Linked DNA regions of Saccharomyces cerevisiae S288C. The protein of the gene in region 3 purifies or fractionates together with the protein of the main gene of each other region. This does not show direct contact. Each region holds a gene or a part of one and is shown on either strand. Other genes may lie near its edges.

Region 1 (3,682 bases), 230 kb from region 3:
AATCATATATAAGAAAAGATAATCAATCATTCGGCTATTTTCTTACAGATACATACATACGTATAATTCATCAATCATAGCATTAATAGAAGATAAAGTATAATGATCGCTACCTCCAGAGCCGTAAACATGAATAAAGAATCAAAACACAAGAAGGCTGTTGCCAAACCATGCAGAGAGAGACAAACTTCAGTTACAAGAGCCATGAGACCAGCTGTAGCACGTGATCCTCGCAGACTTTCGACGTCGTCGTCTCCTTCTTCGTCACCAATGTCAGCACAGAGAAGGCTTTCGAGGGAAGAAATAATAAACGAAATGGAAAAGGAGCAAGACGCTATTGTAGTAAGACTTCTACGGGAAATTGAAACTTTAAAAGAAGAAAACTCTAGGTTAAAAAATCAACTGCACCATCCGGTCCCGGCTAGAAGGTCGTCTCCATTTTTCGAAGGCGAGTCTGCCATCCTAGATGATGATGACTGCAATTATGGTTACACCCTCGACACTCCAAAGCTAAAGCTCACAGATGGTGCATCCAGACACACCGTACTTCCCTTAACACCCAAGGACTCCATGACCCACATTTCCCATTCCGCCAGAAGGTCAAGCCGGAACGCTTCCATATCTAACGGAACAAGCATCTCAGACACGATTTTCCCCATTGAGACTAAAATCCACTCAGCACCAACAACAAACAGAAACCTTCCCTCCGCCGATCTTCCACATCACACTCTTCTTCCACGTTCTCTAAGCGGCATTTCGTCTAGCGATTTAACCGAATCCGGTGCTCTTCTTCATGACAGGAGAAGGCGTTCTTCCAATTACAGTCTCGATGGCTCAAACTCTTTAAAGGCTGATCTCATGGCAAAGAGATTCCAAACTGGTTCATTGAAATAGGCTGTAAGCGAGATACATAAGAAAACAGAGTTTCTCTAAATATATTCTTCCTATTGATCTTTGGCAATCCAACACATATGCAGTTCGTGCACTTGCGTTATAAGCGTGACTTCTCGCTTGGTTTTTTTTTATAATTTTTTTTTAAAACCTCATTCTAAGTACAACTTTGGCGTTTTTCCAAGCTACTACTTATAATTATATGGTTTATTTCATAAATATATATATATATATATATATATATAGAAAATCAATATACATTTAAGCCTTACTGGAGATGACACTATTTTTGTTCACATTTTTTCTTATGCTCTAAATACCTCGGCCTCATACGCAGAGACAGTGTTGATATGTTTTTATACAAAGTAAAGGCAAAGAGAAGGCACAGACAGGATTTCACAGGCAGCTAAGTAATAACGAATATGCTTGCTTCACATATTTTGCCGCCAAATTACACGCTATGGAGCTACGTTCTACTAGTGGTTACTTACCGCTAGCTATTTAAACCCCATCACGTTGATTGTCTATTTCGCTATAGGTTATTTTGCCAAGAAAACTTACTGGGCAATACTTACATCCATTCAGATTTTTGGATAAAGCAATTGAAGAAAGACGACAGCAATTCGACTGGTGGTTGTTAATTACCCTTTGATCCTCTGATTTAAAGACGTAATCCTTCCTGGGGGTAAGTGCCTGATGTATGGGTCCCCATGCCCTTTTTTTTCGTTTCTTTTTTCACTCCATTTCTTTTTTTTTTTTTTTTTTTGGTGAAAAATTTGCAAGGGCAGCTCATCGCAAGAACGAAAATTTTCAATCCAATATTAAAAGTACTTAAGTGTAGCTGTTGCTGTCTGCACTTCCCAATCCATTGGTACCTTAAGTTATTTCCTTTCGTAGTATTTTTCTTACTTTTGCTTCCCAAAGACGAACTGTTAACCAATTTCGGATCACTCAACCCAGGCAGGATAAAATAAGATGGCTAAGACTACTAAAGTAAAAGGTAACAAGAAGGAAGTTAAGGCTTCCAAACAAGCCAAAGAAGAAAAAGCTAAGGCCGTCTCTTCCTCTTCCTCCGAATCTTCATCCTCATCTTCATCTTCATCTGAATCTGAATCTGAGTCTGAGTCTGAATCTGAATCTTCATCTTCATCTTCATCCTCTGATTCTGAATCCTCTTCTTCATCGTCTTCTGACAGCGAAAGTGAAGCTGAAACCAAGAAGGAAGAATCCAAGGATTCCTCTTCCTCTTCCTCTGACTCTTCTTCCGACGAAGAAGAAGAAGAAGAAAAAGAAGAAACCAAGAAGGAAGAATCAAAAGAATCTTCTAGCTCTGATTCATCCTCATCTTCATCTTCTGATAGCGAAAGCGAAAAGGAAGAGTCTAACGATAAGAAACGTAAATCTGAGGACGCCGAAGAAGAAGAAGACGAAGAGTCTTCCAACAAGAAGCAAAAAAATGAAGAAACCGAAGAACCAGCTACTATTTTCGTTGGTAGACTATCGTGGTCTATTGATGACGAATGGTTGAAGAAGGAATTCGAACACATCGGTGGTGTCATTGGTGCCAGAGTTATTTATGAAAGAGGTACCGATAGATCTCGTGGTTATGGTTACGTTGATTTTGAAAACAAATCTTATGCTGAAAAGGCCATTCAAGAAATGCAAGGTAAGGAAATTGATGGTAGACCAATCAACTGTGATATGTCCACAAGCAAGCCAGCTGGTAACAACGATCGTGCCAAGAAATTCGGTGATACCCCATCTGAACCATCTGACACTTTGTTCTTGGGTAACTTATCTTTCAATGCTGACAGAGACGCTATTTTCGAATTATTCGCTAAACACGGTGAAGTTGTTTCCGTCCGTATCCCAACACATCCAGAAACTGAACAACCAAAAGGTTTCGGTTATGTTCAATTCTCCAACATGGAGGACGCCAAGAAGGCTCTAGACGCTTTACAAGGTGAATACATTGACAACAGACCAGTTAGATTAGACTTCTCTTCTCCAAGACCAAACAACGATGGTGGTCGTGGCGGTAGCCGTGGTTTTGGTGGTCGTGGCGGTGGTCGTGGCGGTAACCGTGGATTCGGTGGTCGTGGTGGCGCTCGCGGTGGCCGTGGCGGTTTCAGACCATCTGGTTCTGGTGCTAATACTGCTCCATTGGGCAGATCAAGAAATACCGCTTCTTTCGCTGGTTCAAAGAAAACATTTGATTAATGAGAAAATGAAATGAATTTCAATTTCAATTTTTTCTCTTTTTACGTTAATTACTATATTCCATTTTTGAGGAAAAATTTGGTCTATAATATTTTGTGTACATTAGTAAGTAAATAGGATACATTCTTAAACCTTTCATTCACCATCTCTATTTGCCAACTTTTCTTCGAATGGCTTACTCTTTTTTTTTTCACGATGAGATGAGATCGCTAGATACGGAAGATTACAAGGCCTTGGAAAATACTCAAAAAATTTCAGTAATATGAAATGAATATCTAAATAAAAGCTTGGGCGTTGTGCTTGATTGAGCCACGAAAACTTCCTTTAAGGATTAGCACATACTCCACTTAAAAGTAGGAACATACTCACATTAAGGTGTTATCAGAATAAATGAATGTTCAAGACAGAAGGAGGTTATTAGGCCCTGCTGCTGCCAAGCCAATGGCGTTTAGCAACACTACTACTCATGTGCCAGAAAAGAAATCAACAGATTTGACACCTAAAGGCAATGAAAGTGAACAGGAACTTTCTCTACATACCGGTTTCATCGAAAACTGCAATGGATCTGCAT
Region 2 (2,875 bases), on a different chromosome or scaffold from region 3:
ATTCTCAAATTCATTTTCCAAGTCAATCTGCTTGGTGTCAATGAAATAATCGTGCTGATTGATGAAGCTTTGAATGACATTAACACCGCCATTAAAATTGTTGAGAATGATGGCAATTTCATTTAATTTAGTAAAATTATTCTCTCTATATGCAGAATTAAAATTCTCTAACAGCTCATTTTCCATCATTTCAGAGTACTTTTCAATAACCAGCTTTGTGTTTATTGTTTTTGGTATTGAACTTGTCTCTAGTTTGGATGATAATATCAATAGATTCTTCATTAATTTCACGGACTTTAAGTTTAATTTCCAGTTTTTAGACAGCCTTAATTGTTCAACAATATCTGATTTTCCCATGGAATAAAAGTCATTGTACCTGCGAATCAATTCCACACTTTGAATATAGTTTTGCTTTTTCTTGATTGCGGTTTCTAATTTATCTCCCAATGGCGAAACAACTTGAGTAACATTTGTCAAGCGATCATCTAGCTTGTCGAATGTAAGTAAAGTAGTATGCAAATCCTTGGATAATTTTATCACATTCTCCGAATGAATAACTTCCTGAGTAGCCACTTGCTCGGAAAAATACTGTCTTTTATTTAGTGTTTCCTCATTTAAGTTTTTTAGTTCCTTTAAGGTAGATTCAAAAGTTCTAATGTAAGGTTTTGGATCTAATTGTTTCCAAATAGCCTCTCTGATTGCATCCTGATCCTTTTCATTGGTTGGAAGATTTTTCGTGTTTGCATCAATCAACACGTCATTACGATGGTCTTTGCTCAATTCCTGAACGAATTCATTGACTGTTAATCCGCCCAGGAAATTGTCCGTTTTCAATAGTTTCTTCCATTTCGGATCGAGTTCATATAATGAGTTCATGTTGTAACACCACTTGATGACAAAGCAAATTTGCTCAATTTTCTATATCCCTTTAATGCATGAACGGTTCTTTATTTTGTTTTCTGTCGACATTCTAGTTTTTCGGAATCTCAAAATAATTAATTACATATACGTACATAAGTAGCCCAGATAAACAAAAATACCTTAAAAAAGAGTTACTAGCCGTATATGGATGTTTGAAGATACATGGAAACCGTCTCTGGTGTCGTGTATATAAGAAACTTCTAGTTTTATTCAGACGCACTCATTATCTTTGCTACATAACATTTCTCTCTGATTTGACTGCGCATCTTACCCCTCCCCCATGCATGTGGAGTCATAGGAGTAATTTTAAAGGTAGAATTTCATATTAAATATCGCTGCTTGATTATTTTGTAGCAAATCAAAAGAGTGTTTCAAGTAAGTAAAAACATTTGAGCCTCCCCATTTGTTGAAAGGAGAGAAATTAAACTTGGTTGGGGTTAATTATTTGATGGGTATATTAATTTGCAACCGCAAGGTATCGATAATAAATATTCTACAAAACCTTTATCAATAGTGGTGAAGTCTTTAGTGCGATCTACCTGGGGTTAATGAACGAGAAGTTCTTGAGATATCTTTCCTGTTTACCTCCGTGCATCCTGTAAGGAATTGGGTTTATCATTTATCATTTATTTTAGTACAAACTTTTTTTTTTGGCCCGGGCGCACTTTTTCAAGCGGTGGGAACTCATCAAAATGAAAAACTAGATACTTTTAGACTTATTAAATGGTTTAAATATTTTGAGATGTTCGTTATATCAGAAACTTCCTTACTTCTATCTTTTATTCCAATACAAAGAAGTCACAAGATTACTTGGTAAGAAAGAAGCAGTTAATTTTTAATTTTGCCGACAAGCCAAGATGCAAATTTTCGTCAAGACTTTAACCGGTAAGACTATTACCCTGGAAGTTGAATCTTCTGACACTATTGACAATGTCAAGTCCAAGATCCAAGACAAGGAAGGTATTCCACCTGACCAACAAAGATTGATCTTTGCTGGTAAGCAATTGGAAGATGGTAGAACTTTGTCCGACTACAACATCCAAAAGGAATCTACTCTACACTTGGTCTTGAGATTGAGAGGTGGTGGTAAGAAGAGAAAGAAGAAGGTCTACACCACCCCAAAGAAGATCAAGCACAAGCACAAGAAGGTCAAGTTGGCTGTCTTGTCCTACTACAAGGTCGATGCTGAAGGTAAGGTTACCAAATTGAGAAGAGAATGTAGCAACCCAACTTGTGGTGCTGGTGTTTTCTTGGCTAACCACAAGGACAGATTGTACTGTGGTAAGTGTCATTCCGTCTACAAGGTTAACGCTTAAGTAAAGTATTTTTAAAACTTATATATTTTAATTGATCGTTAAATTTTGAAAAAGGCTTTTAATATTGTCATTATTTACTTTTCTATTTACAACAAAAGAACAAATGAATAGATAGACAGTAGAGGAATATAAGTAGTATGCAGTGCCATGCGGGATCAAGGAATTTGTATCTCTAATTTTCGTGGTTGTATGCGTCTCTAAACAAGTCAATATTTTGCTGTAAGATGGTTCTGCCGCTCCTTTCAGTTCCTTTAAGAAGCGTACCTGCAGATATTTTAACATCCTCCATGGTTTCATTGACTTTACTGACAAGTTGATTGCTCAAGTCATCAACATGTTTTTCCCAATTTTCACTAAATACTTGCAAAACAGCATCGAATCCCATTTTACCCTTTTTAGCGTTCTCGCAAAACCTTTGAACTGACCAATCTTCCATCTTATTACACAGCTTTCTAATGGATCCATATGCTGTAATTTGGGCTTCCTGCTGGAAAAGTGTTTTATTAGCCGAGTCATCGGGATGCGGGCTATATGTTACAGTTTCGTAGACTTTTAATAGATTGCACATCGTTAAATTACAGCTTCTCATGGTCAAGCTCTTTTTATTTAAGTCTACCACAGAAACTTCTCTGACATGA
Region 3 (3,247 bases):
GACGATCCTGTTAGTGTACTTCCAGGATTACAACTGAGAAGAATCAAAGATTACACTTTTAGCGAGCAGGGGTTCATTGAAATGACGCCGCAGCAAAAGAAGAAAAAGCTGTTAACCTTGGAGGAAATAGGAAGGTTTGGATATAAGAAATTATTAAATGTTTTTGATCAACTAACTTTTGGAATGACAGAAAGCGAAGATACGAAAAAACGTTTCGTCAGTGTCTGCCAAAGATTACCGGTTTTAGAAGGCATGAAATTTGAAGAACAGGAAAATAACGAGGTGTTAACATTTTATAGCAAGCACCTTTCTAGTAAGCATAATAATGGGTTTGAAGTATATTGTGATAAATTCCCTAAGATACAAAAAGAACTATGGTTTTTAATTGGACACAAAGGCGATGAACTGCTGATGATTAAAAGGTGTCAACCAAAACAAATGAATAAAGAGGTCATAATACATTGTGATCTATTTATTCCCGAAGAAATTCGTGGCGAAGAATTGCAATTTTCCCTTATTAATGACGCTTTAGGATTACGTTATGATATGGTCCATAAACTAATCTCTTAGTGAGACACAATTAAAACAACAATTATTTTGTGAAAGATAACAGTGGAAATCTATCTAGTATACATCTTCGTATATATTTTCTTACATAACGCATTTAGAATTTTTTTACTCAAAAAAGTCATCCTTTTCATCTTCTCCCACAACTTGATCCAATTCTTTTCTATCCTGTGTAGGTGATACTTGTGATCCATCCTCATGATCTTTATCAGGTGATAATGTTAATCCGATGGAATCTTCATCCAATTTCTTTCCCTTCAATATCTCTTCGAAAGATACGTTTAAGGTGTTCGCATCCATTCTTTCAGCTACTAATTTAAGAAATTGTTCTCTTCTAAGATTTGTCAATTCTACGCCCTTTGGGTCTGTAGATGGTGTATCATTCGGATATAGTGCAATATACTTTTCAGTTTTGGGAAAATTTATCACGTAACATAATTCAATTTTAGTGGCTCTCAACTTTTGTTGTAAATCTTTATCATCTGCGCCAGATTCTTTTATTTTCTTCAATAATCTGTTATATTTTCTCAATGCTTTTTTTTTTTCAAAGAATCTCACCATATGATATTTTTTAGCGTTGGCTTTAATCTTATTCTTGAGTTCATTATTCTGCAATTCCAACCGTAAAGCTTGCAAATTTCTTTCCTTTTCTATTATTACTGTGGATGGAAGTATATCTTTCTTCTTTTTTAATAACCTCTCTAAATCTCTTATTCTTCTTTTAATTTTGTTTGTTCCTGCATCCATTATCTGGGACATCTCTAGAGATGACCCAAGAGCCTTGCTTCTCTTCCTCTGTAATTTAGCCATTGATTGATTAGGTTTATTGAATGATATAAGTAAAATAACTAAGTCACGATATTTGTTTTATGTATTGTTTAATTGTAGAGATGAGATGAGTATGAAAATTTTTTTGAATGTGTTTTTCTTAGTGCTCCGGCATAGGGTACCGCAGAAATTAAAGGAATACATATTTTTGAGCTTCAAGCACTTTTTATAATCTTAGCGTACTTATCTTTATATTCATCTGCAGAGTAACCGAGAAAGCCGTGATATGTGTCTTTTCTCCTTTTTTTTTTGGCTTTCCATAACTTTTTCTTCCAGTTGAGATAAATTTATTGAAGCCTGTGAGTCTTGATTAATGACGGCAAATCCAGGTCTAGGTTTAAATCCCAACTTAGATGTTTCTAGCTCTTGCAACCAGCGGGGATCTTTTGTTATGGAGTATTCAAATCCACGTATTGTATCCAATGGCCTTTCATTTCTTGCTCTTGTAGGATTTGAAATATCAGGTGTTTTTATATTCCTACCAAATGTATCCTTCATGGATTTCAAATTTCCATCTTTATCGTAAATAACATAACCATTGCAAGTTGAGTTTTCTGTTAACGGATGTATCTTCTGTAAGTTAGAGAAAGTGGCTTCTTCAAAAGGCTGGGCTTCTTGAACAGCCTCGAGGATTGGAGCGGCCAAAGAAGAAGAGCGTAATTTAATTCTTGATGTATCATCATCCTTTTCTATCTTATCTGAACTTTCGAAATGTTGCATTTTTTGATAAACTATGATTTTAGAGCACTTCAGATATTACTTTAGGAAACTTTTGCTTTAATATTCTTAACATTATAAAATTGACGACAGCATCACACTTTTGAGTGCGTCACAAATGCATATAAATGAAAAAAGGTAACTTAGTTGAGGAAAAAATAGACACAAATTAAAATTTTGATATAATTATAGTAATAAAACTACATAAATCATATTATATTTATCAAGACAAACAGGTTACTATAGGGAAAAAGATTAAATTTTGAGTAAGAATTTGCTTTTGTAAAGGAAAAGAGCAACCAGTATGAAAAATGCATATTAGGGAACCTTTTCTGCTATTGTCCTTTATGTTTTAACCTCTGTGATTTCCAATCAGACTGGAAAAATACAAGCTTTAAATACTCGAGCACAAAGACAACAATTATTGTGTTTAATCAGTGAGTTGGGCTATATTAATGGAACTCAAATAATATGCACTTTTCATCTTACTGCAAAAGTGCACATTCACACACCACGTCCATCGTTTAAGGATATGACTCAATAAATTATCAATCTGATCACTGCCAGTGTTTAGAAACATAGTGTACATTTCTTTATTGTTACATTATACAAAACCTTTACAAAAGTTTTATTCGATCAATACATCGTTATACTGAATCTACTTTGGTGAAGCAGGGTTATCTTTACTGCTATACATTGGACAAGATTTATTTGTTCTAATGTGCCCGATTTGTCCGCATGTAGCACATCTCCTTGTAGTGTTCTTACCTTTATTCCTGGCTGCTTTCCCGTCAGTTACACCGGCAAGGTCGCTACCATTATCCACAGAGTTTTCTGTTCTCGTGGCACCACCATTTCTCTTCGAATTTTGCCTTGCTGCTCTACGTTGCTGTGATTTTTCCAAATTAGCTAATTCTAGTTGCAACAGTTTTTTCTGTTTCTCAAGTTCTTCCAAGTTATTTATCTTTGAAGTGTCCTCCTCTAACAATTTGTTAACATCTTCTTTATCCTGTTCTTTGATTTTTATATATCCTTGAATGACCCTAGGATCTCTTATGAAAATTGTCTGCCTTTGAATTATACCATTTTCATCTCTTTTCTTTCTAACAATCTTCAGAATTTTCTTATCATCTCT

What was found.
Region 1: the proteins of EFG1 (region 3) and NSR1 purify together in Saccharomyces cerevisiae (affinity purification with mass spectrometry, with the first as the bait; 2 studies listed by BioGRID). This does not show direct contact.
Region 2: the proteins of EFG1 (region 3) and RPS31 purify together in Saccharomyces cerevisiae (affinity purification with mass spectrometry; 2 studies listed by BioGRID). This does not show direct contact.

Annotation. Positions count from the first base shown.
Region 1 is NC_001139.9:805,841-809,522, reverse strand, and holds NSR1 (Nsr1p), read left to right. Parts: upstream 1-1,866; coding exon 1,867-3,111; downstream 3,112-3,682. Other genes in the region: RTS3 (Rts3p), read left to right, coding at 103-894; exosome non-catalytic core subunit MTR3, read left to right, coding at 3,502-3,682. UniProt on the Saccharomyces cerevisiae protein: Involved in pre-rRNA processing. Specifically binds nuclear localization sequences. Candidate for a receptor at the nucleus that may be involved in both RNA and protein transport. Binds telomeric sequences of the type (TG[1-3])n in vitro.
Region 2 is NC_001144.5:497,169-500,043, forward strand, and holds RPS31 (ubiquitin-40S ribosomal protein eS31 RPS31 fusion protein), read left to right. Parts: upstream 1-1,778; coding exon 1,779-2,237; downstream 2,238-2,875. Other genes in the region: exocyst subunit SEC10, read right to left, coding at 1-876; UPS2 (Ups2p), read right to left, coding at 2,410-2,875.
Region 3 is NC_001139.9:1,037,125-1,040,371, forward strand, and holds EFG1 (Efg1p), read right to left. Parts: upstream 1,378-3,247; coding exon 676-1,377; downstream 1-675. Other genes in the region: SLH1 (RNA helicase), read left to right, coding at 1-570; YGR273C (uncharacterized protein), read right to left, coding at 1,591-2,115; TAF1 (histone acetyltransferase), read right to left, coding at 2,771-3,247. UniProt on the Saccharomyces cerevisiae protein: Involved in rRNA processing. Required growth at elevated temperatures, resistance to hydroxyurea and for cell cycle progression.